Arabidopsis thaliana: one gene and its partners. The protein of the gene in region 2 purifies or fractionates together with the protein of the main gene of each other region. This does not show direct contact. Each region holds a gene or a part of one and is shown on either strand. Other genes may lie near its edges.

Evidence for each region. Proteins that work in one complex are often made in the same cells at the same time.
Region 1: the proteins of TUBG1 (region 2) and SPC98 purify together in Arabidopsis thaliana (affinity purification with western blotting, with the first as the bait; one study listed by BioGRID). This does not show direct contact.
Region 3: the proteins of TUBG1 (region 2) and NodGS purify together in Arabidopsis thaliana (affinity purification with western blotting; one study listed by BioGRID). This does not show direct contact.

The regions. Positions count from the first base shown.
Region 1 is NC_003076.8:2,054,028-2,060,779, reverse strand, and holds SPC98 (spindle pole body component 98), read right to left. Parts: upstream 4,253-6,752; 5' UTR 4,040-4,252; coding exon 1,785-4,039; intron 1,673-1,784; coding exon 1,411-1,672; 3' UTR 921-1,410; downstream 1-920. Other genes in the region: AT5G06670 (P-loop containing nucleoside triphosphate hydrolases superfamily protein), read left to right, coding at 5,761-5,990, 6,085-6,182, 6,363-6,452, 6,680-6,752. UniProt on the Arabidopsis thaliana protein: Gamma-tubulin complex is necessary for microtubule nucleation at the microtubule organizing centers (MTOCs). Required for the positioning of the gamma-tubulin-containing complex on pre-existing microtubules and for the proper organization of cortical arrays.
Region 2 is NC_003074.8:22,810,709-22,817,524, forward strand, and holds TUBG1 (gamma-tubulin), read right to left. Parts: upstream 4,509-6,816; 5' UTR 4,304-4,508; coding exon 4,175-4,303; intron 4,000-4,174; coding exon 3,687-3,999; intron 3,583-3,686; coding exon 3,182-3,582; intron 3,044-3,181; coding exon 2,990-3,043; intron 2,916-2,989; coding exon 2,811-2,915; intron 2,709-2,810; coding exon 2,634-2,708; intron 2,542-2,633; coding exon 2,497-2,541; intron 2,362-2,496; coding exon 2,233-2,361; intron 2,143-2,232; coding exon 2,038-2,142; intron 1,962-2,037; coding exon 1,893-1,961; 3' UTR 1,374-1,892; downstream 1-1,373. Other genes in the region: AT3G61660 (uncharacterized protein), read left to right, coding at 5,414-5,833. UniProt on the Arabidopsis thaliana protein: Tubulin is the major constituent of microtubules. The gamma chain is found at microtubule organizing centers (MTOC) such as the spindle poles, suggesting that it is involved in the minus-end nucleation of microtubule assembly.
Region 3 is NC_003074.8:19,704,035-19,712,380, reverse strand, and holds NodGS (nodulin/glutamine synthase-like protein), read right to left. Parts: upstream 5,562-8,346; 5' UTR 5,314-5,561; coding exon 5,152-5,313; intron 4,948-5,151; coding exon 4,598-4,947; intron 4,510-4,597; coding exon 4,394-4,509; intron 4,317-4,393; coding exon 4,211-4,316; intron 4,069-4,210; coding exon 3,912-4,068; intron 3,840-3,911; coding exon 3,744-3,839; intron 3,678-3,743; coding exon 3,629-3,677; intron 3,500-3,628; coding exon 3,228-3,499; intron 3,113-3,227; coding exon 2,940-3,112; intron 2,855-2,939; coding exon 2,734-2,854; intron 2,651-2,733; coding exon 2,598-2,650; intron 2,506-2,597; coding exon 2,376-2,505; intron 2,299-2,375; coding exon 2,153-2,298; intron 2,083-2,152; coding exon 1,894-2,082; intron 1,818-1,893; coding exon 1,585-1,817; intron 1,502-1,584; coding exon 1,359-1,501; intron 1,256-1,358; coding exon 1,193-1,255; 3' UTR 921-1,192; downstream 1-920. Other genes in the region: AT3G53170 (LOW protein: PPR containing protein), read left to right, coding at 5,964-6,040, 6,150-6,459, 6,546-7,629, 7,753-7,781.

The DNA of each region.
Region 1 (6,752 bases), on a different chromosome or scaffold from region 2:
AATAATGAGAAAAATGAGTGGTGAATGCAGTTATGGAAGGAAGATGAGATGAAAGAGGAGGTGATTGGAGGTCACAAAGGATGGCTTGTCATCGAAGAAGTTAGAGAATTGATCAACAAATTTGTCTAGTTCTCTCTTTTTTTTCATTTCCTACCTTTTTTTTTTCTTTTAAAAAAAATTAATATGTACAGTCAGTTTTCTTATTTTCTTTCTTTATACAATTTCAAACTTAAAAACTCCTTTTTTTGATAATCAAGAAATTTCACATTTTTTTTTCTTTTCGTCGAGATTGAGCTTTGTTAATTAAGAATGGCTAAAGTCAAGGTACAATTGTTCAACCATTCAATTAGGAGGACAAGCATAATCAGAGTAGTAGTTACATTGAAGACAACCATGTTTGGCAAGTAAATGAGCTACTCTATTACAAGTTCTACGAGTGAATGAAAAGCTAATGTTTTGGAAGAAATTTCACATTTTGATTTCTATTTTATACTAATAATTTCAATTAACGATTAAATTAATCAATTCATTAATTGAGCATCATCGTCGCTTTGGCCGAGTGGTTAAGGCGTTTGCCTGCTAAGTAAATGGGGTTTCCCCGCGAGAGTTCGAATCTCTCAGGCGACGAATTTTTTCACCTTTTTTTTTTCCTTATATGTTAACCTCCAGTTTGGCCTGCACTTGCAAATTAATCGACAACCGTGAATTGTTTTTTCTTTTAAATTGGACACGATTGCTTTAGATTTTGAGACTGTAACTCTTGCCAAAAGCTACTTGTTTTTTGTTGTTCATATGCTTCATTCACACAGAGATAGATCAATGTGGATGAGAGGAAGAGTATCACAAAGGTTCTTCTTAATTGCAAGAGAAAGGCTTGCGGATTAAAATCACTGTGAGCTAATGCTTGTGCTCAATCTCAGGCCGTGGCTACAGAAGCTTCTAGATAGTGAAAAATTCAGAGTTTGGAGCCTTTTACACTATGGAGATACACATTATGAAGAAGCAACTGATTCCTTCTTATATCAACCAAGTCATAAAACAAATCATACAAATCAGTGAACCACAGAAGAAGAAAAAAAACTAAAGCTGGAGATCATCAGACTTATAGCACAAACTCAAACACAAACCTTCCCCAATTTACCAACACAAAGAATCTGTTTCCCAATCCTAAACTTTGAAACAAGCCATTGAAAAAACAATCTATGCAAAAGACAGAAAATCTATGAGGCAGTCTCTAAATAAGAAACAGATTCTCCCACGCACCTAGATTTTAAGAAAAGAACCTCTGCATCCCTGGTTCAGGAGAGCCCATGCTGCAGTCAGCGGTTAGTGAAAGACGTAGATAATGTCTTCTTCTCTTGCGATTGTGCAATATGCTTTTCAACTAAACCTGATACTCTTTCAACTTTCTTATCCTTTGGAATGCAATCGGCTGTAGAACTCAGTGAAGTCAAGCCGGAAAAAGAGAAACTTGAGATCTACAGATTGTTGCAGAGGCAAGAGAGATAGGAATCCATCAAGTGACGATGTGTATTCCTTTGCAATACTGTCCATATCTTGACTCATGCTTTGTAGAAATTCTCCAGCACGCTGTGTTAAGCCCTTCCTACCCTCACTGATCCATGAACCGGGCTCTTGCGATTTGTTTTTTTCTCGTCCTGATTCTTTAGATCTGCAGGAAATCGGTGATATTAGAGATCAAATTGTGACCCTAAAATCAGAGGAAAATGTTTGAGCAATAGTTTAAGGTCTACTTTTGTTTGAATATAAAAGACAAAACACACCTTATTTGCAACTCGTGAATTCCTTCATACAAACGATCTGCATGACTCCTGAACCGTAATATAAGCTCAAACAGGACGAAAAGTGATTCGCGGATGGTCTGTGACTGTTCACCCAGAAGAGATTTTCCAACAATGGCGTTGAGGTACTTCTCATGCGCTGCCAAGAGATCATCGAGGTCTTTAGCAGCTTCCATCTCTTTTGAGAAATTAGACCATGATACCTCCAATACCTCAAACATGATGTAATACTGAAAGTTAGTAACAAAATGGTTCATTTCATTCCAAAGGACCTGGCACCGCCTCAGGGCTGAGAGTAATTGCAACTTCACCGAACTTTGAAGCTTAACAAATGAGTTCGAAGTGATGCAATTTGGTTTCATGGTCTTCCAAATTCCGATAAGAGCATGCTCTACCCGTTTCAACTTCCAGAGAAAATTGAACACTCTCAGGTATTTAGACAAAACAGACTCAGTAAACACGGTATCTAATGGAACCCTTGCCTCGTATTCCAATGAGAATACATCCCAGCCTCTGTCTCCACTGCCATGAGGCATCATCTTCACTCTCAATCTGTCTAGCATGTCACGGTCATCATACTGTGCATTTGATGCTCGTATTGCAGCCTCAAGAAACCCAGCTAGCTCAAATGAACTAATATTATTGGCTGGCTCAGAAAGCTTGGGTCCTACAATATCCATCAAGTACTGGACAAAATCACCTTGACCAAGTAGTAAATAACGCTTAATCGCAAGACAATGCTCCTTAAATTTATATCTCTTATATAGAACATCCAACAGATGCTTGTCGATTCTCTTTGCTGCCTCGGTTACAAGATGTTCAAGTGCATCTGTTTCACCATACCCGAGACCTCCTCGCCTAGTTGTTGTCCCAGAGGCAGCTGCTGCTTCTGAAGCTGCATCAGCCCACCCGTGGTCATCACAGCAAACACGAAGAAAGTTTATAGATTTCCCAGTTCTCAGAATTCTCTGAGCTAGACTTGGTGAAATAAAAGATGGAAGCATTGCTGGGTGGAGCTTATAGCCTTCTCTCCAAAGCAAATCGACTTTAACCGGCTGACCTACGACAAAGAATTCACCAAAAGTATCTTCCAACTCCCCTTCTAGAACCCAACTTCTCACCATTTCAAATAGCGGAGAACACACACATCGAAGCAAACTCATCATAAAATCATGAACAAGCGGATCACCATGCTGTGCGTGCAAATGGATAGCCCCAGCCATCGCCCCACCTCTCAAAACCTTACACTTGTCAACCAAAACAGCCATCAGTCTCATTTTCACCATAGGCTCCGCAAACCATACCGACAACCTCCTCAAAGAAAGGTAATTGTTTGAGCTTGCTGATTCAGAAACCAAAGGAATAGGATTCATGGCCTGCGCTTCTAGCACAGCTAACAACTTATAATAATCAGAAAGCTCATCTTGCAACGCCGCACAAAACGCTTGCCCAACAGTTCCCACATCCTCAGCTGGAAACCGATCCATACTCTCAGTTATAAAAGTCTTAACCTTTCTAAACAACCAACCAAGCTCAGAGAGCATACGAACCATAATCCTCGTAGCTCGAGGCACCTTAACAGACTCCTGCACGGCATAACCGTCGATTTCACTGTTAAATTTGACATATTTCCCATCAATTCCTTGGCTAGCATACAAAACATCCCTCACTAGAACCTCCTCCGTCACTTCATTCTCTTCCTTAACCAAAATGGCATACTCTCTAAACGCAATATCCCTCAAATTCTCAGGATCTTTACTAACCAACAAAACCCCATTACTCCAATCCTTCTTCTTAGCCTCTCCACGGCTCAAAACCCCATTACCAGTATCACCAATCCCCAAATTAGGTAACAAAACCGAGGAATCAAGACCATTTATAGCCGATTTACGATCGTCAGAAACAATTTTAAGCAAATAAACAAGAGCCCATTTGTTATTGACACTGCCAGGTCCAGTTTTGGAAGCGAACTTAGTGTAGAGATCGGCAAAAGCGAGTGCGTCGGAGGACTTACCCTGAGTAGCGAGACGGCGTTTGAGAGACTCAGCGATAGCGGTGGCGTCAGGGAGGACGGAAGGAGTAAGACGACTAGAGAGGATACGAAAAGCGTAACGAAGGGTTTTGAGGAAGGCGGGAGAATTGGGATCGAGATTAGGGGTTTGAGGGTTTTGTGAGACGAGACGAAGAACAAGCTCTTGTACTAGATCTGCAGCCTTCTGCTGATCGTCGTCTTCCATAATCAATTCAAGCTTTTGCCTTTTTTTTCTTCTTCTTCGATTTCACCTTTTTTTGGATTTTTTTTGTTCTTCGAAGTTTTTTTGGTGAATTTGATTTTTGAAATCGAAAGAGGTTTTGCAGAGTTTGGGCGAGTGAAGAGAGTAGTGAGTGAACGAATAAAAAAAGATTGGGCTTCTTTTGGACTTTAGAGCTATGTAATTATTTTTCCTCGGCGGGCAATTGAATACATATGTTGAAATCCAAAAACATTGGAATAAAAAAACATTATGCAAAATATCTTCTCATTTTTTTTGTTATAAGTTTTATTTCAAATATATTATTTGAAACAACGGAGAAAAATAATGTTTGAATTAAAAAAAAGTTCACAAGTTAATTGATATGTTACGTAGAATTTTTTTGTTTAATGGAATTTTGAGAATTTTCCATTTTAAAATTAATAAAGAAATATATAAATATGAAAAAACCTCATAATATTTAATTCACAATAAAAGGTACCAATAAAAATGTATACTTTTTTAAAAAATTAACTAGCATTTAAAAAAGATTATTTGGTTTTATCTACCAAATTTATGTATTTATTGAGCAAAATAATAAAAACAGTTCATTTTAGACATTTGTTCTCTGAATAGAGGAATGATTTCTCTACTCATTTTAGGTAGTAAAATGTTTCTCTACTCATTATTTTCATCAATGAAGATGAAAATAAAGGAAGCTTATTTCCACTTTAATCAATTGTAAAAAGAAAAGTACAAGATCGGAATTAAAAAGTAAAAATATTAGACCTATTTTTACGTATGTGGAAAAATATTCCCTGTAACAATCACTTTCTACTTTTTTCACTAATTAATTTCTCTATATTCTGTTTGTTACAGATTGCACACCATTTATATATATACACTACTTTACTATCATTTCCATATCTTTATCTTTTTCACACCAATTTACTTCCTTATCTAATCATAATTGATTCAACAACAAAAGTTTAGAAGTTTATAGCTATTTATGACATAGAAAAATCCGTGAAGGCAAATACGTACAATTGTACATGTGTACGTATACGATTCTTCTCTTATCTTTATCTCTTAATGATGTTTTGGTGATTACAGTTTAAGAGAAGAACGAATAAACAATTGAAACTCGGGTATTATCACTTCAAACTTCAAAGGCAAGCGAGAGATTATTATTAAAAAGTAAACACTCTTTTACACAACAATCGCAATCATCTAACTAATTACTCTTTTAATGATGATTATGCTTTTCTCTTCTTTAAGTTCCTCTTCTTCTTCTTCTTCTACGTAATCACTCACTCTCTCTTGCATCATCATAATCCTTTGCATGCGATTCGGCTTTTAGCGGCGGTGATGCTACATTGAGTTAGTACCCACTTGCCTCTCTTCTTCTCTTTTATTGCAATTTTCGACCTAACCCAAGTGTTCGAAGCTCGTGGCATTTCCGTAATTCTCTTATTCCTCTCATTGTGATTCTCTCACTCGCTTACCGATTGAGCTTTGTAAACTCCCAATTTCATTGCTTTCCTGTCAATTTGCAAGTTGCTCTATGACAATTTGGAATCTTTAGCTCAGTTTGACAAAAAAAAAGGAATCTTTAGCTCATTACACAGTCGAGCATAATTCCGTTAGCTTGGTTTCAGTCTGTACTTGATAAAGTTTTGTACTTTCTTCATTTTTTCAGTCACTCGAAGTTTGAATTTGGTTTTGTGATGGGATCTAAACAAGTATCAAAGACTAGAAATGGTGGATTTAGCAAGTTAAAGACTGTTGAGTCCTCTGCATCTTCAACAACCTCGTCTTCAAAACTTTATCAAGAGGCGTCTGTAGATAGCCATAGCTCCCCTACTTCTTCATCGGTTCGAAGCAAGCCTCAGTTACCACCTAAGCCTTTGCAGTCCAAAGAAAATGTCACTGTCACTGTGCGTTTTCGTCCACTCAGGTGAATATGTTGATTTCTTTTGTGTAGGATTCAAACACTTTAGTTTTATATGTTTGTTCTGTGGATTGTTGACATTGGTTTATGCTTCACTTAGTCCAAGGGAAATCCGGAAAGGAGAGGAGATTGCATGGTATGCAGATGGGGAAACGATAGTGCGGAATGAGAATAATCAATCAATAGCTTATGCCTATGGTTAGTCTTAACAGTTTGACTAGTGTTCATGACTTCATGAGTTTCTGTAACCATCATAAATCTTGTTCTGTGGAATGGATTGAAGTTTCATGCATCATGAATCAAGACCTAAATTAAACTAGATATCAAGGTCCAATCTGCCATATTTTTTCTTGAAATTTCTGTTGTCCTTTCTTGCAGATCGTGTTTTCGGGCCTACTACGACTACACGCAATGTCTATGATGTTGCTGCTCAGCATGTCGTTAATGGTGCTATGGCGGGGGTCAATGGTATGGACTAAACACTTATTATTGCCCTCTCTAGTTAAGACTTTATTCTTAGAAGAGAAAAAGATATTTTTAGTATCAAGCTTACCCGAGCTACAGTACCATGAACAGTTGCATGACCATTCATTTAGAAAATGAGATCTTTGAGTTGCCAAACTCTATCTAGTGCTTGTTCTAGTCTCTAGAACAACTTTAAGTTAGATTTTCTTGCCAATTTGATTTTATTGTAGTGACTTTGAGTGTTAATTCAACCACAGGGACCATTTTCGCATATGGAGTGACAAGCAGTGGGAAAACTCATAC
Region 2 (6,816 bases):
GAGAGACGACGAACGACACGGACAACCAAAAACCCCTTTGGATCATATATATGGCTATAACGCGTTTTTATAGTAATTGACTGTTTACCGGGTATAGCCGGTAATCCACTCTAGAACTTTTCTGTCAATTGTTCAAAGGAGTTAACTGACATGTGTCATTTTCTGGCTAAATGACCGTTCCTAGTTGGTTCGTTTAATTTCTTTCTATTCCCTCAACAAATGGAATTGGAATTTATTGTAATTATTATCAAATTTAGCTTTAAACTAAAGTTATGGCTAATTTAACACGTCCTCTGAATTAAAATTTGACAGATATTACGCGTTGAGAGCTCTTTCGTGTATAGGAGCATTAAACAGGGGTGGATTTTATTCTTTGAAACCTTAACATGTGTTTCTTCTAACCTTTGTACGAATCCGTGTCCATATGTGCATCTCCCATTTGAAATCTCTTTTCTTTTGCTACTATTACTATTACTACAACACGCTTTAATTACACAAGAGATCAACTAGTTTTTGTTCCAAAACTCATACTAATATTTTGACAATAAAACTTCACCTTACTAGATATTTTCTAAACCTTTCTACATAATTATGCAAAACCAAATTGTAATTCTCTCTCCAGCCTCCACATATATTTCTTTAAATTCTAGTATGGTACTACTACTAGCATAATTATCTATTTGTAAATAAATAAAATATCATTTAGTACCAAACATCACAAAAGATGTTTATAGTTAGGGACCAGAAAAACATTGCAGAGGGAATAATTGAGTTACATAATAGTAAGAAAGAGGCCATGTGATGTGATGATGTTGAGATTCCCCCTTTTTCAGTTCTTTACTTTTAAATTAAAAAAATGGAATAATTCGCCAAGCTGTTCCCCTTTTTTTTAAAAAAAATTATTGATACGAGAATAAAAACAAATTGTTATTATAAAAATTTATGCTTTGAGTGAAACATATGTAACGGCTAGTAAGTAAGTGTTGTTATAGGTCTTTAGTCAGATTTTGGTTTTTACTCGTAAGATTATGCTTAGTTTCAAAATAAGAAGAAAGATAAGGACTTAGCTAACAAACAAAGTAACATACACTTTCGATATCTAAAAAGTAAAATCTATTCATCATAAGGCCAAATAAATCGCAGTTGATGTCGGATTGTTTATCGTTTTGTCAACATCTCTTTTTATTATTTGCTTACTAATTTACAAATACTCGCGTCTAAAACGACTTCTTGGAAAATCATTAGTGTAATTTGTTACCTAATCCCATTATATTATAAAATATGAGGTCCACGAAATTTAAATTCTTATATAGTAAGTAAATTCAATTCAACTTGCAAAGGTTTTTTTTTATAAATATGATTTTATATTGTTGGTTAAGTTTGATTTGCTTCCAGAACGGCGTCGTATGCAAAAAGAAACTCAAAGGAGAGTTGACCGATAGAATTTACTATGATCAACACGGCACTAGTAAAAGTTTAGATCACAGCATATATACAAAGAAAATAGAATCCATTAAACCCAATTCCTTCATCAACACAACATGCTTCTTGCTTTCTAGAGTTTTCGAGTCTTTTAACCACACATGGAGAACATGATACTCCGATCACAGAGACATGAGCTAAAACACCCATAAATATTACAATTCTAGATTCCTTCTCCTGAGGAGTGAGGAGATGCAACTTTGTGTGCTCTCAATCCCAGGAAACACACATTCATCTAACAGACTAAAAAACTCATCCACATCATACCACTATTCCAAGGTTTTACGTGCCAACACTTACTACTGCTCCTACCAAAACCCATTTTTAAGTAATCCTATGATCACCTGAAATATCTCAGTTAAAAGTGAAACTTCATGCGACTTACTCTGGTTTTTGTTTTTATATAATAATCAGAACGCCAACTTCGGATCAACAACTCCTGAAGCATTGCCTTCACCAGTCATAAGCTGTTCAGGGTCCTGAGACAGACACAGATACAGTTATCATTTCGAGTTCATCCATAAGTAAGATTATTGATGGGAAAAGCTTATATACCTCCATTCCCCATTTGATGTAATCTGGAGACTCACAGGCCTTGTATTCATCTACCAAACTCTCAATTATGTCCCTTGATTCGTCAAACTCTGAAAGATCATTGTCCTGTTCATATCAACATGTAACTGTCAAAGCTGGGTTTGTTGCACTAAACATCAGCCAAACAAAGCCATTATACTTGAGCAGTCAACTTACAGCAAACATGGGAAACTTCCGGTAATTGTCTAGAAAAGCTTGCTTCTTCCTCAACTTATCATATTGGCTCAAACATTTGCTGAATAGGTGCCTGATACTAGTGTGGCTTGCTAACATAAGACCACTGACCTGAAATATCAAATACACCATAAAATAAGAGTCTTTGTTGAATCTTCTAAAGCAGGAACTAGCAGCCTAAGACATTAACTGTAAGGAGCGGCAACTCTCAGTATGACAGATAGATATAGAGTGATATAAGATTACCCTATGGGCAGTTTGAACATATGGGGACTTCTTGGAAAGAGCAACCTGTTGAGAGTAAGATATGGAAAAAATTATGATTCAAGTCCATGGTGAAGCCAAAAGCAATAACTAATTTGCAGACACAATTAGGTTAGAACCTGTATGCTTGCAGGTCCCCACTCAATGAAATTAACAAGCTTTCTTTCTCGTATCCTCTGCAAACTCTCATGCACCTAGTATCAAGTAGCGAAATAACAGAGCAGATTACATCAGCAAGAAAGAATAACCAATTCATCCTCAATGTGTCCGATCAAAAAACAGCTAGGTAAAAGTACCTGAGTGGGATCGACTTCTCCTTGAATTATATTCAATATTGATATATACTTTGCCTGACTAGCTTCTTTGTTTCTAGCATAAGACGAAACCATGATATTTTTTGTCTGCAAATACAATCATGTTAGAAGCACAACCGATTCAAGTTTCGGAAAAAGATTGGAGAAGGCAAACAGCTCACCTGTAGAAGTCTTCTCATAACATCCAGCACAGTAGTTTTACGAATGACATTTGCCTGCCAAGAACAAGTCAGTTAATAGAGCAGGAAATCAATCAAAAAAACCATTTGCACACTGTAGAATTTATGTTCAAGATACAATGATCGCTTCCCATAAAATTATTTTGTGATATTAAACTCGTTGAGATATCTTACCTGGCGCTCAACAGTCAATGGTGTATATCCAGTCATGAGGAAGTGACACCTTGGTGTTGGGATCAAAGATGCAAGCAAGCCAACGAGGTCGTTATTCATGTATCCTGGATAACGCAGTGTTGTTGTGCTAGCAGACATCACAGTAGACACTAGAGAATTCGTTTGAGCAAAGGTAGGATTTGTCAGATGTAGACGCTCCACAGCAATCCTTCCCAAAGCAGTGTTGTCAAGGACAACAACACAATCAGCATTTAATGTAAGCCGCTTAAGCGTCAAAAGTGAGTTGTAGGGCTGGACAACAACGTCACTCGTTTCCATCTGATTGGGAAAGACACTGTATGTCTGAACCAACTTCTTGCTGTAGCGATCATTCAAAGTCTCCAACAAATAAGATCCCATACCTTCATGTGAAAGAAAGAGAGAGAGAGATGGAGGGAGTCATTCACATCAGAAGAAGCAGTGAAAAAACATGAGAATGCTAAAAGAAGAAAGCCTCATCATTTACCTGAGCCAGTGCCTCCAGCAATAGAGTGGCAAAGAACAAAACCCTCAAGACTGTCACTTCCATCAGCTTCTCGATCAATCATGTCCATGATTTCCTCTTCAACACCCTTCCCCTGGTGATAACCACTGGCCCAGTTATTACCAGCACCACCACCATGGTCAGCAACGAAGATATTCTCGTGATTATAGAGATTGCGGTAATCACCATTCTGAATACCATTGATGACTCTAGGCTCCAAATCAATGAGGAGAGCTCGTGGGATATAGTGTTGGTCATCCGCTTGGTAAAAAAACACATCTTTTCTATCACCTCCCTTCACAAACAAGATCAAAACATCAAAAATCCACTAATCCACTAATCCCAAATGGGTATTCAATTGTCGATTAATAGAAACCCAGAAACAACGATTTCGAATCAATAAGACCTAAGAAATTCAAGTAGACAATTAATTATAAAGAGAGGCTTGGTTGGTTCAGAAGAAGAAGGACCTGAGTAGCGAAGTCCTCGAGAATACCATCTTTACTGATACCGTGCTCGAGGCAAAGCTGTTTCCAGAACTCCATACCGATCTGATTCCCACATTGTCCAACCTGAAGCGTAATTATCTCCCGAGGCATTTCTAAACCCAGAAAGTTGTTATTGGGTACAAAACTAGGGTTTCGAGACTGTGAGGAAGATGATGAATGATGAAGAAATGAAAATGATTAAATTAAGCTCTGGCGCGGATACCTTTTTAAAACTCGATCCAATGCTTTAAAGAATTTTTGCGGACGGAGAAGATAAATTTTTGCATAGATTAACACTAAACCATATGCTCTAATTAAAGCCACACTCTCTCAGCTAAGCTAACTAACGTCTGCTTACTCATATTGGGCCAATTATAGGCCCGTTTTGTATTTCTTCAGCCCAATAAATCTTAAAAAGGAAGAATTTTGCATGTAAAGGATGGAATAATAACTTTTAACTTTAAGATTAATTTTTAGAGTTTTTTGATTATCAAATGGGAAAAATGTCATTTAAATCATTAGTTTACCATTTTCGTTAGTTTAAAATATGAATTTTGGGTATGGTGATTTAAATCCTTAATTTTATGTTGTTTTTCAATTTAATCATGAATTCTCGTTGAGTAAGCTAATTGAGATACAAATTCTTCTTTTTCGATGCTATCTGTCGACTTAGAGACGAAAAATTACTTTAAATTAAAAAAAGAAGCAAGAATCCGAAGAAAAAGAAAAAAAAATTGGAAATCTATTTTCAAGATCTAAGATTTTTTATTGGAAGAATTTCTAACGACATGTCTTAACCAACTTAGTCAACGAAAATTTATGATTAAATTGAAATTCAACATAAAATTAAAAATTTAAATTACATATTTCCCTTTATGGTAAAATGATAAATTGGAAGAGTTCATTCTTTAAACCAACTAAAATGGTAAAATGATAATCACATATTTCCCTTTATCAAATTCGTAGTGTATCTATATTCTCCAATTTCCGGATTCATTAACGAGTAATTAACAACAAAAAAAAAAACCTCCATTAAAGGTAAATAATCGTCAAATAAACATAAACAAATCTCGCCAGCTTGACTGTTATAAGTCCATTCGACCAAAAACAAAGACTAGAGGAAGAAAACAAAAACCTTAAAACACTTTCAATAGAAGACACGCACTCACTGTCAGAAATCTACATCGAGAAACACACTTCCACTTTCCAAAAACATCATTCATGAAAAAGACCACAGAGAAAACGAAGAATATGGTTGATGATGATGATCGTATACTATGGGATTGTGGAAGTCCACTCTATGATTCCTACGAGCTCGTTTCTCTTACTCACATCATTGAACGCCATTTCATGTCTCTACCTTCTCTTGCTGGCGCCGGAAAAGTTTGCTGCTCTCGAAGACCGTCTGATCTGGAAGAAAAGGCCAATCGTGGGGCCAACACCGTCGTTGATCTGTGTTGTTCCTCTGATTCGACGACTGGTAAACTGTTGTGCGGTGCTTTTGGAACCAAATGGTGGAAGAGAAAGCAAAACACCGAAGCTGTCGTCGATAATTACAACAACAAGAAGAAGAATATGTTTTGTCGGATCCTCTCTAAGATAAGGATTTCTACAACAAGATCTGGTTCTTCGAAGATGTGATTTTCATATCTTCTTTTTCTGTTTTTAGTATTTGTTTGATCCTTCGTAAAATAATAATTAAGTATATTACTTGCTCATGTTTTTTAATTTGAAAATTTAATCGAATAAACTGTAATGAAACGGGAAATACATTTTATTGACTTATGGATTAAATGCAGAGTAATTAGTTTAAGTTGAAGAATTTCATGGATTTAATATCCATCACATCATACGTCTCTGAAACGTTTAGGCAAAGAGTGAAACGTGGATCAACATGCAATCAACGTTTACATTGGGGAATATGAGATATATAGCGATAGAATGATATAGGAGTCGTTTAGCAATTGCCATTTTACTAACAGTTCATCGGGGTGTCAGAAGAAAAATATGAACTTCATAGAAAATCCTCAAGTGAATAACAAAGGACAAAACATGTGAAGCAATTTGAAAATTTCATGATTCTTCTGACAATATTCTAACATGCAAATTGCAAATGATTCTTGACTCAGTCAATGATTTAGGTCTTGGGAACTTGGTAAATTTGTGTAATTTGTTACTCTTTAAAAAAGTGTTGAGTATGCGCAGATGGGCTTCTTGAATAAAAGTCTGTAACGGCCCATCTCTATAACTTTGAACAGAATTAAAGGCTATATTGTTTCCGTTAGAATTTACCTTTTCTTGTTGAGTATAGTTTAGCCGTTACAACATAAAATGCTTCCTCAATAAAGTATTAAAGCTTATGATAACAACGAGCATCTTCGAATTTGTTCCTCCATATACTTTAGTTTATATCATATAAGTAGACTATTTTTGAAACACTTATATTAACAACATTGAGGGGTGTTATATTACACTCCAATTCACATCATCAAGAGTACAAAAGGCTGCTGAAGAAAGAAAAGAGAGGAACAAATCACAATAATTAAAATCACAAGAAAGTGTAAAATGAATGCGAAATAGACCAATAGCTATAATTGCATAATCCATTACCAATTGTTGTCTCA
Region 3 (8,346 bases), 3.1 Mb from region 2:
TTGTCTCGTTTTCACCTTGTATTTTCATTTTAATTCGATTCTACAATCCAAAATTAACAGCAAAGTCAATTGAATGTTAACAACAAAATTGATAACGTTGGTTTGGAAGATTTAGAGTAAATCTCTGTCTTTCTTAGGCTGGATTTTAACGTTTTGACCCCATATATCTATCATTCGTACATTTGACTACAAAATTACGTACATGCATGCGACAACAAGATTCTTTTCAAAGGACCTTGCATTGACTTTTATTGTTGTAGTAGAAAGGTTAGATTTTTCCTTCAAATCTTAGTTATAGTTTCCCTTGAACATATAAATCTGTAAAGTTTTAGCTGATTCGTTTGCAAAGGGAAGCAGTAAAAGCTCATTATGTTGTACGTATACCTTCTTACGAACAATTAATTTGTCTAGTGTGAATGAAATCATAAAGTTTGCAAGAAAAAAATTTGGACTTATTAATAAGTTCTCTTCCATAGTCACATGGAGATGGATTTTGTTCGTCCACTTGTTTGAGCATAATAAGCGTACCGTATAAACCTAATCTTTACTTTAATTTCTATACTTATCGTTCATATTTTAAGGAAATTAGCTAGGTAGCATAACTTAATTACACTTTAAACTCCAATTTCTTAAAATTAAATAAATAATATGATGAGATTTACCAAAAGAATGTCATACTAACCTTTTCTTTCATAAAAAAAAACATGTGCTTTAGTTTGCAGATTAAAGGGAGATTAAATATGATTAAATAGGTTAATTAGTCAAAGTAATGAATAAGAAAGATTTGAAAAAAAGGGATCAGGCACCTACCTAGATAACAATAGCCGGACTAAGAACATGGAAAGAACAATGGTTAAAGGGTATTTGCGCTCCTAATACTACAATCATTTTTTTGTTTCCGAGTATTAGTAGTCAAATTCAATTCATAGACAAATGTAAATGATTAAGAACTACTCCGTATTATTGAAAATACTCTGTATATTCTTGAGGCTTTTGAAAGCATGGGACGAAAAAGTAAGAAATACAAATAGTACTCCAGCATGAGCATGCGTCTCGAAATATGAAATTTAGTTTATTAATTTTCTGAACCACATCTTTATGTCAAGTATTTTGCAAATACGACCCTTCATGTGACACAAAGTCCACAATAAAACCAAATGATCCAACAATCATCATAGAGATGCTCAAAGGATTAGTATCGGTGAATGAGTTGCTTATATGCATCCGGATTCTTCGAATAATACTCGACCTCAGCCTGTTACACAAAAAAATTTAAAAAGACAAAAACAATAGATTAGTGCTAATGTACTTTGTTACCACTGAGAATCTAATGGGAAACTAAAAGACTATAGTGTTACCTTACGGACTCCTTTTATGGCAACTAAAAGCTTTTGTCCGAGCAAATCGTGGAGAACTTTGTCTTTGTCCAGAGCTTCAACAGCTTCTGAGAGCGTTTCCGGAAGTCTGTTCAATGTAGCAGCCACATCCGCCGGATTTATATCTGTTCCATCCGAACAACTCAAGATCAAGCTTCATATTAACACTACATATACATGAGAATGAATAACATAAGTTTTTAGTTACCTATTGGAGTAGGAAGTTGAAGATGTCGCCGGAGACCATCAATACCAGCAGCCATTATAACAGCCAAACCAAGGTGAGGATTTGCAGAGCCATCAAAAGACTTTATCTCAAAGTTAGTAACTAAACCATCAGGAGTTCCTGGTGGAGAAGCTGCTCTTAACGCTGCTTCGCGGTTTTCTTTGCCCCAACATTGGAATGCTCCACTCCATGTATTAGGTTGGATTCGGTCGTAGCTGGAAATTTAAGTGACACACACAACTTTTAATAACAATTGAGGAAATTACTCGAAAAGTACGGTTTTCGAGTTACCTGTTTGGGAGTGGAGCTATAATAGCTAAGATTGATGGAAGATGAAATAGAACTCCGGCCATGAACTCTTCTCCAACGGAAGAGATTCCATGAGAAGATGAGTTATTAGATGCCGGGAAGACATTTTCGCCGTTTTTCCAAAGACTTAGATGCACATGTGATCCAGAACCAATGTCACAATAATCATACCTGAAGAAAAAACACATATGTTAAAAATTTGCAGTTACAACGAATAATTTGGTGGGAGAGACTGACATACTTTGGAACAAAGGTTGCGAGCAATCCCTGTTTCCTTGCAACCGATCTTATAACTTCACGTGTGTAGACCAAGTTGTCGGCAGCATGGGATGCAATGGTGTGACCGAGAGATACTTCAAACTGACCTTTCCCGGATTCAGCATGAAACTATGAAAAAATTTCATACATGTCAAGAAGCATGTTGCAGACTGATCATTATGAGGGATTTTTGAATTATTTGTAACCTGTTCAACTTCGATGTTCAAGGACTCGAGTGCGGGTACAATATCATGGAAGATCGGAGATGCAGCATCGAATGAGGATGTGGCACAGTAAGGACCAAAGTCAAAAGGCATATACTCTTCTTTCCCTTCCCTTTTAAAAAATGGACAGAACAAGTGTTAAGATTGTGAAAATGATTGGATTGAACAAAGAAACCGGTATTCAAGAAATATATAGTCGCATACCGCACAACGTTCTTGAGGAGATAAAACTCATTCTCAAAACCAGCGTTCATTACCTAAAAGCCAAGGAAGATTTGAGCTTAAGCAACCAAAAAGCAAATAAAAGTTTTCGTAGAATGGCTATATGGAGATTTCTTACCAAGTCAAATTCATCTTTGAGAACTTTTGCGACCCTTCTTAAGGTCTCTCGTGGACAGTACCCCCATGCTTCACCAGGCTTCAATTGCATATCAGCTAAAACCATGCTCTCTTGCTTCGTCCTAATGATAAAATATGATACGGAAACAATTAAGAAAGAAACATCTGTAAAATTAACTCCAAAGAGAATGAACACGAGTAAAGTACCAAGGTATTGTCTGCTTGGTTGATAGATCTGGAACAAGTCTAATCTCACCCACACCTGTCAATTTAGACTCTTCTGCTGGTCCATCAGTAAATGAAGTCATCCCCATTGATGCAAAGGTCAGACCAACGCCGTTCTTCTTCACACTTCTGTTAAAACGCTGCGCTTGAACAGCCTGAAACAATACAATAAACAGAATTCTAGTTAAGTTTTTGTGCTTCTAAGGAAAAATCGTTGAGGTGGGAAACAGAGGTTTTTTCTTTAGAAGAAACCAAAAAAAAAAAACTCACACGGCATCTTTGTTGTCCAGATGTATCAACCCAAATAATGCGTACAAAAGAACTACTATCTTCTTGAACATCAGGCTCCTTTATCTTCAATTTGGGAGATATTATATTTTGTGGACTAGAAGAATCTGTGTCTATATTAAGCTTATAAAATCCAATAGAATTTCGTGAGAATATGTCTTTAGCTGCATCAATAGCTTCCATGAGTGAGAGATCACCACTGGCACAAGCATCACTCAGAACTAAGAAGATAACCTCACGTGCTTTCTTTGCACCTGCAAAAAACAGCGAGCTATGTTCAAGACTGAAGCAAGACGATTTCAAGTGCCAAAGCTTAGAAACAGGATTGGAACATATATAAGTATGTTACAAACTATAGAAAAGAGGTAGAAACTTGAGCTAACCTAAATAGTAGGTCTCAGGAGATGCATACCCATCAGTGCTGAACATAACCTGCAATAATATCTTATGGTTACTCATGAACAATAACAAAGATAATGCAAGTAAAATAAATTTTACCTTCTTTATTGATGCTAAGTCAAGGAGCTCTTTAACTGAAGAAACCATACCATGGACACTAAGCTTTGGAACCGCCAAGCCGAAATCAAGGTAAACCTTAAGGAACAAGAAAATAAGTTAATGACTAGGCATGATTTTACAGATAATTGAAATGGGATGACGAAAAACCTGAGGATAAACTGAAGACAGAAAGGATGCTTCCTTTGAGAATGGATAAGCTGCATGAAGAAGAACTATACGACACTTTCCAAATCTTTTGTCTTCAAGAAGGGTTCTAAGGTGAAGAGGATTCGACAACCTCAAATCCAAATCCTTGTCACCAAAACTGGCTCAAACAACAAAAGAAAAGGAGAATTTTCATTACTACAAACCTCTGAGCATGAGTTTCTGTTTCTGTGTAAGGTTTGTTTGATAAAAAGATCAGACTTTACTAACATCAATCATATAGTTGATCAAATCTTGCATACCCGGTGTGAATCTGCAAGGGCAAGTCGCGACGCACAGCGACCTCCAAACTAATGGTAAGGATGTAGTCAATCAAGCCCTTGTTTCCTATGCGGACAGGCTTTCCAGCTGCAGCAATATTAGATTTTAAGGTGATCAGACAACAACTATGTTACTTCTTGATAGACCAAGCACAACCATCTTACCTCGCAAGACTTCAACAAGGCCATTCTCAGCAACTTCTTTACTCACATAAGTATCAATATCCAAACCGCTACGATATGCAGCAATAGTTTTCAAAGCAACAATCTCTGGAACAAGCGTGACCGAAGTAGTCAAGGTTAACCAATACTAGTGAGTATAGTCACAATCATTAAGCGTGTATTAAAAAAGCAAAGATAAAAGGATATGAATTTAATCTTTCAACAAAGGTTTTGGTGAAAGAATCTAAATCCCAAACAGGCGGTTCAGTACTCTCAGAACCATAGAAATAACCACCAGGACACTCCTCTTCGAGGATTTGCTCGGCAAGAGTTTCGATACGCAACACTCTACCAACGAATGGAACAAAGTTTCTATGCCATTCAATATCATGTTTCTTGTCTAGCTTTAATCCATCATCAATGAGGAGAGCAGAGATTCGAGCTTCTTTAAAACACTTGGAAGTAAAAGAATCCAAACCCGAGGTTTTACGATGTTCCTCAACCGCTTCTAAAGATACTTCAGTGCCATAAAGTTGAGCAATCTCCCTCAAGTTCCTCTGTTTCATTCATACAACCAAAAACATTCATACCAACTTCACGAGATTCCTAAACAAGTCAACATCTTTTGAGTAACACTCGAAACTTTAGTTAACTAATACTTTTGAGACTAATTAGGAAACTTTAAGCTAACGTTTTCATTAATTAGAATCTGATTCAAACGAAAACTAACTAGAGCAAAAACACTTGGTATCGTCGTGTACCTTGAAGGAGAGAGAATGAGGAGCGAAGGTTAAAGCGTCGCCGGCAGCCTCGGAGAAAGTTCCGATGAACGGAAAAGATGAGTCAAGAGAGACAATGTTGTGTGCGTGAGCATCAACGAGCTCTATCTTCTCTATTGCTTCCTTTAACTCACTAAACTCCATCTCCGTCTCTCTCTGTCTAAAGTCAACAGTTCGATGTTCTTGATTCGTGTTAATCTTCTTACAATCTTCACAGTTTATTACAGGAACGGTTTTAAAGCATAAGTGAAGAAGATCCAATCAAATCGTTGACTTTTCCTTGTCTGATTTGGTCGGTGGCCGATGTCTCTGACCTTTAAACTTCACGACGGCGTTTAGAGGAGAGTGATGAGCACGTGTCCACGTGAAATACATTAGCCTCCACGTGTCCTAACTAGTGTGGATAACTTTCAACTGTGTTCTTGGTTTTTCATTTTCCAAATTCCGGTTCCTTGCCAAGGACAATCTCGTTTTAACAAATTCGAATTCAAAATTAAATTGGAAAAAGCTCCATTTGGTTCTTCCTTCATCAATCCAATCCTTTAAACCGGACAAGAAAAAACTGATTAATGCTAAATTTTTAATTTTGTAAATCCAAATTAAACCGGCATCCAAATCAAAACTAAAACCATTTCATTATATTTTACAAACCGAAGAGAAGCTACACCAAACCGGAGAAGAAGAAAAAAACGAAGGAAAAACAACGGTATCGTCGTCGTCTTCTAGCTCTGCTTTCTACCCAGAAAATTTGCAGTTTCTTTTTCTCCACCTTATCTTTCTACCATTTTTCTTCGATGGCATTGATACAAAATCCTGTTCAAGGAACTACTTCCGCGTACGCCAATGAGATCGCACAACTTGGTTTTTCTCGGTAACATTCTCATATTTCATACAATCATACTGTTTTGAATTTTACGTTTCTTTAATTCTTCAGTTGTGTTTATATTAAATCTATCTTTCTCTGTTTCTCATTCTTGCAGAAGCGTGGTTCAGCAACATATATCTTCCCCTGTTTATTTTCGGTGTATACCAACTATTTCAATAACGCCCACAATGTGTTCGACAAAGGTCCCCAACGAACGTACAGAGAAAATGAATTCTGGTTTGATCTCAACAAGACACCAAGTAGATCCTAAGAAAGAATTGTCTCGGATTCTGAGAACAGATGCTGCTGTGAAGGGCATTGAGAGGAAAGCCAATTCCGAAAAGTACTTAACTTTATGGCCAAAAGCTGTTCTAGAAGCTCTTGACGAAGCTATCAAAGAGAATCGATGGCAGTCTGCTCTCAAGGTACAGCTCTTTAATCCTTCTTCATTCTTACAGATACTTGGACATAGATTCGATAGAATTCACTTTCCTGTTTCTCTACTTTATAGATTTTCAATCTTCTTAGGAAGCAGCATTGGTATGAACCAAGATGCAAAACTTATACAAAGCTGTTTAAAGTGCTTGGGAATTGTAAACAGCCTGATCAAGCCAGCTTGCTTTTCGAAGTTATGTTATCTGAAGGATTGAAACCAACCATTGATGTGTATACCTCTCTTATCTCTGTTTATGGCAAAAGCGAGCTTCTAGACAAGGCGTTTTCTACACTTGAGTATATGAAATCTGTTAGTGACTGCAAGCCAGATGTGTTCACCTTTACTGTTCTCATCAGTTGTTGCTGCAAACTGGGTCGGTTTGATCTGGTTAAAAGTATCGTTCTTGAGATGTCGTATCTTGGAGTTGGATGCAGCACGGTTACTTACAATACTATTATTGATGGGTATGGAAAGGCTGGAATGTTTGAGGAAATGGAAAGTGTTCTGGCTGATATGATCGAGGACGGAGATTCTCTTCCGGATGTTTGTACGCTTAACTCGATCATTGGGTCATATGGAAATGGTCGCAACATGAGGAAGATGGAGAGCTGGTATAGTCGGTTCCAGCTGATGGGGGTGCAACCGGATATCACTACATTTAACATACTGATCCTGTCATTTGGAAAAGCTGGTATGTATAAGAAGATGTGCTCTGTTATGGATTTTATGGAGAAAAGGTTCTTCTCCCTGACGACTGTCACTTACAATATAGTGATTGAGACGTTTGGAAAAGCTGGAAGAATTGAGAAAATGGATGATGTATTCAGGAAAATGAAGTATCAAGGAGTGAAACCAAACTCAATCACTTATTGTTCGCTTGTTAACGCGTATAGCAAAGCAGGTCTTGTCGTTAAGATAGATTCGGTTTTGAGGCAAATTGTGAATTCAGATGTGGTACTGGATACACCGTTCTTCAATTGCATAATCAATGCATATGGTCAGGCTGGTGATTTGGCTACAATGAAAGAATTATACATACAAATGGAAGAGAGAAAATGTAAGCCTGATAAAATCACTTTTGCTACTATGATCAAAACCTATACTGCTCATGGGATATTCGATGCAGTCCAGGAACTCGAGAAACAAATGATTTCCTCTGGTGAGAATTTAGATATCCTCTAAGAAATATAATAACTGAGATAAGAGATATATCTTGAGTATTGCAGCTCTATTTGGTGGTTGAATTTGTTTCTGAACTATTCTTCCTTTACTGGGTTTTAAGATATAGGCAAGAAGAGGCTTACGGAGTGATGCTTTAGTTTGTGAATGAGCAAATCTAATGCAGAAGGAATTTAGAAGTTGTGAATTGTTCCAACTAAGAGAATCACTTGAGGTAACCTTTTTGTTATAAACTGTTATTTTTACTCTAAACTTCAAGATAAAATGGAGACACATGCTTGTAAGTTTAAGTGTTTGTTCAGGTGTTTGGAGCGTTGGTTAGCAAGATCCCAAGAGAGGCATGGCCATTACTAATGAGAATTTGGGTCGGTTCTGAAATAACCAAATCAGCATTGGGGAGAAAACGTAATGATTCCAGTCAATGTAAGTAATAAAAGCCATCACTAGTCTAAATGTTATGGTCTATTTTTCACATGTATTAGAAAATATTATCACATATTGTGTCTGTATATTTTGGATTTGTTTTCATCGTATAGGTTGGGACAGCTGTCTAGAACCAAAACTCAATTCAAAGTTTTCTTGGTAAAGTAAAATATAATTTTCTTACGCAGGCTCTTTAGACGGGTCAAAACAAACTGTGATCTAAAACTTTATCGTAGCTATATACACATAAATTATTTTCCAACATCGTATTATA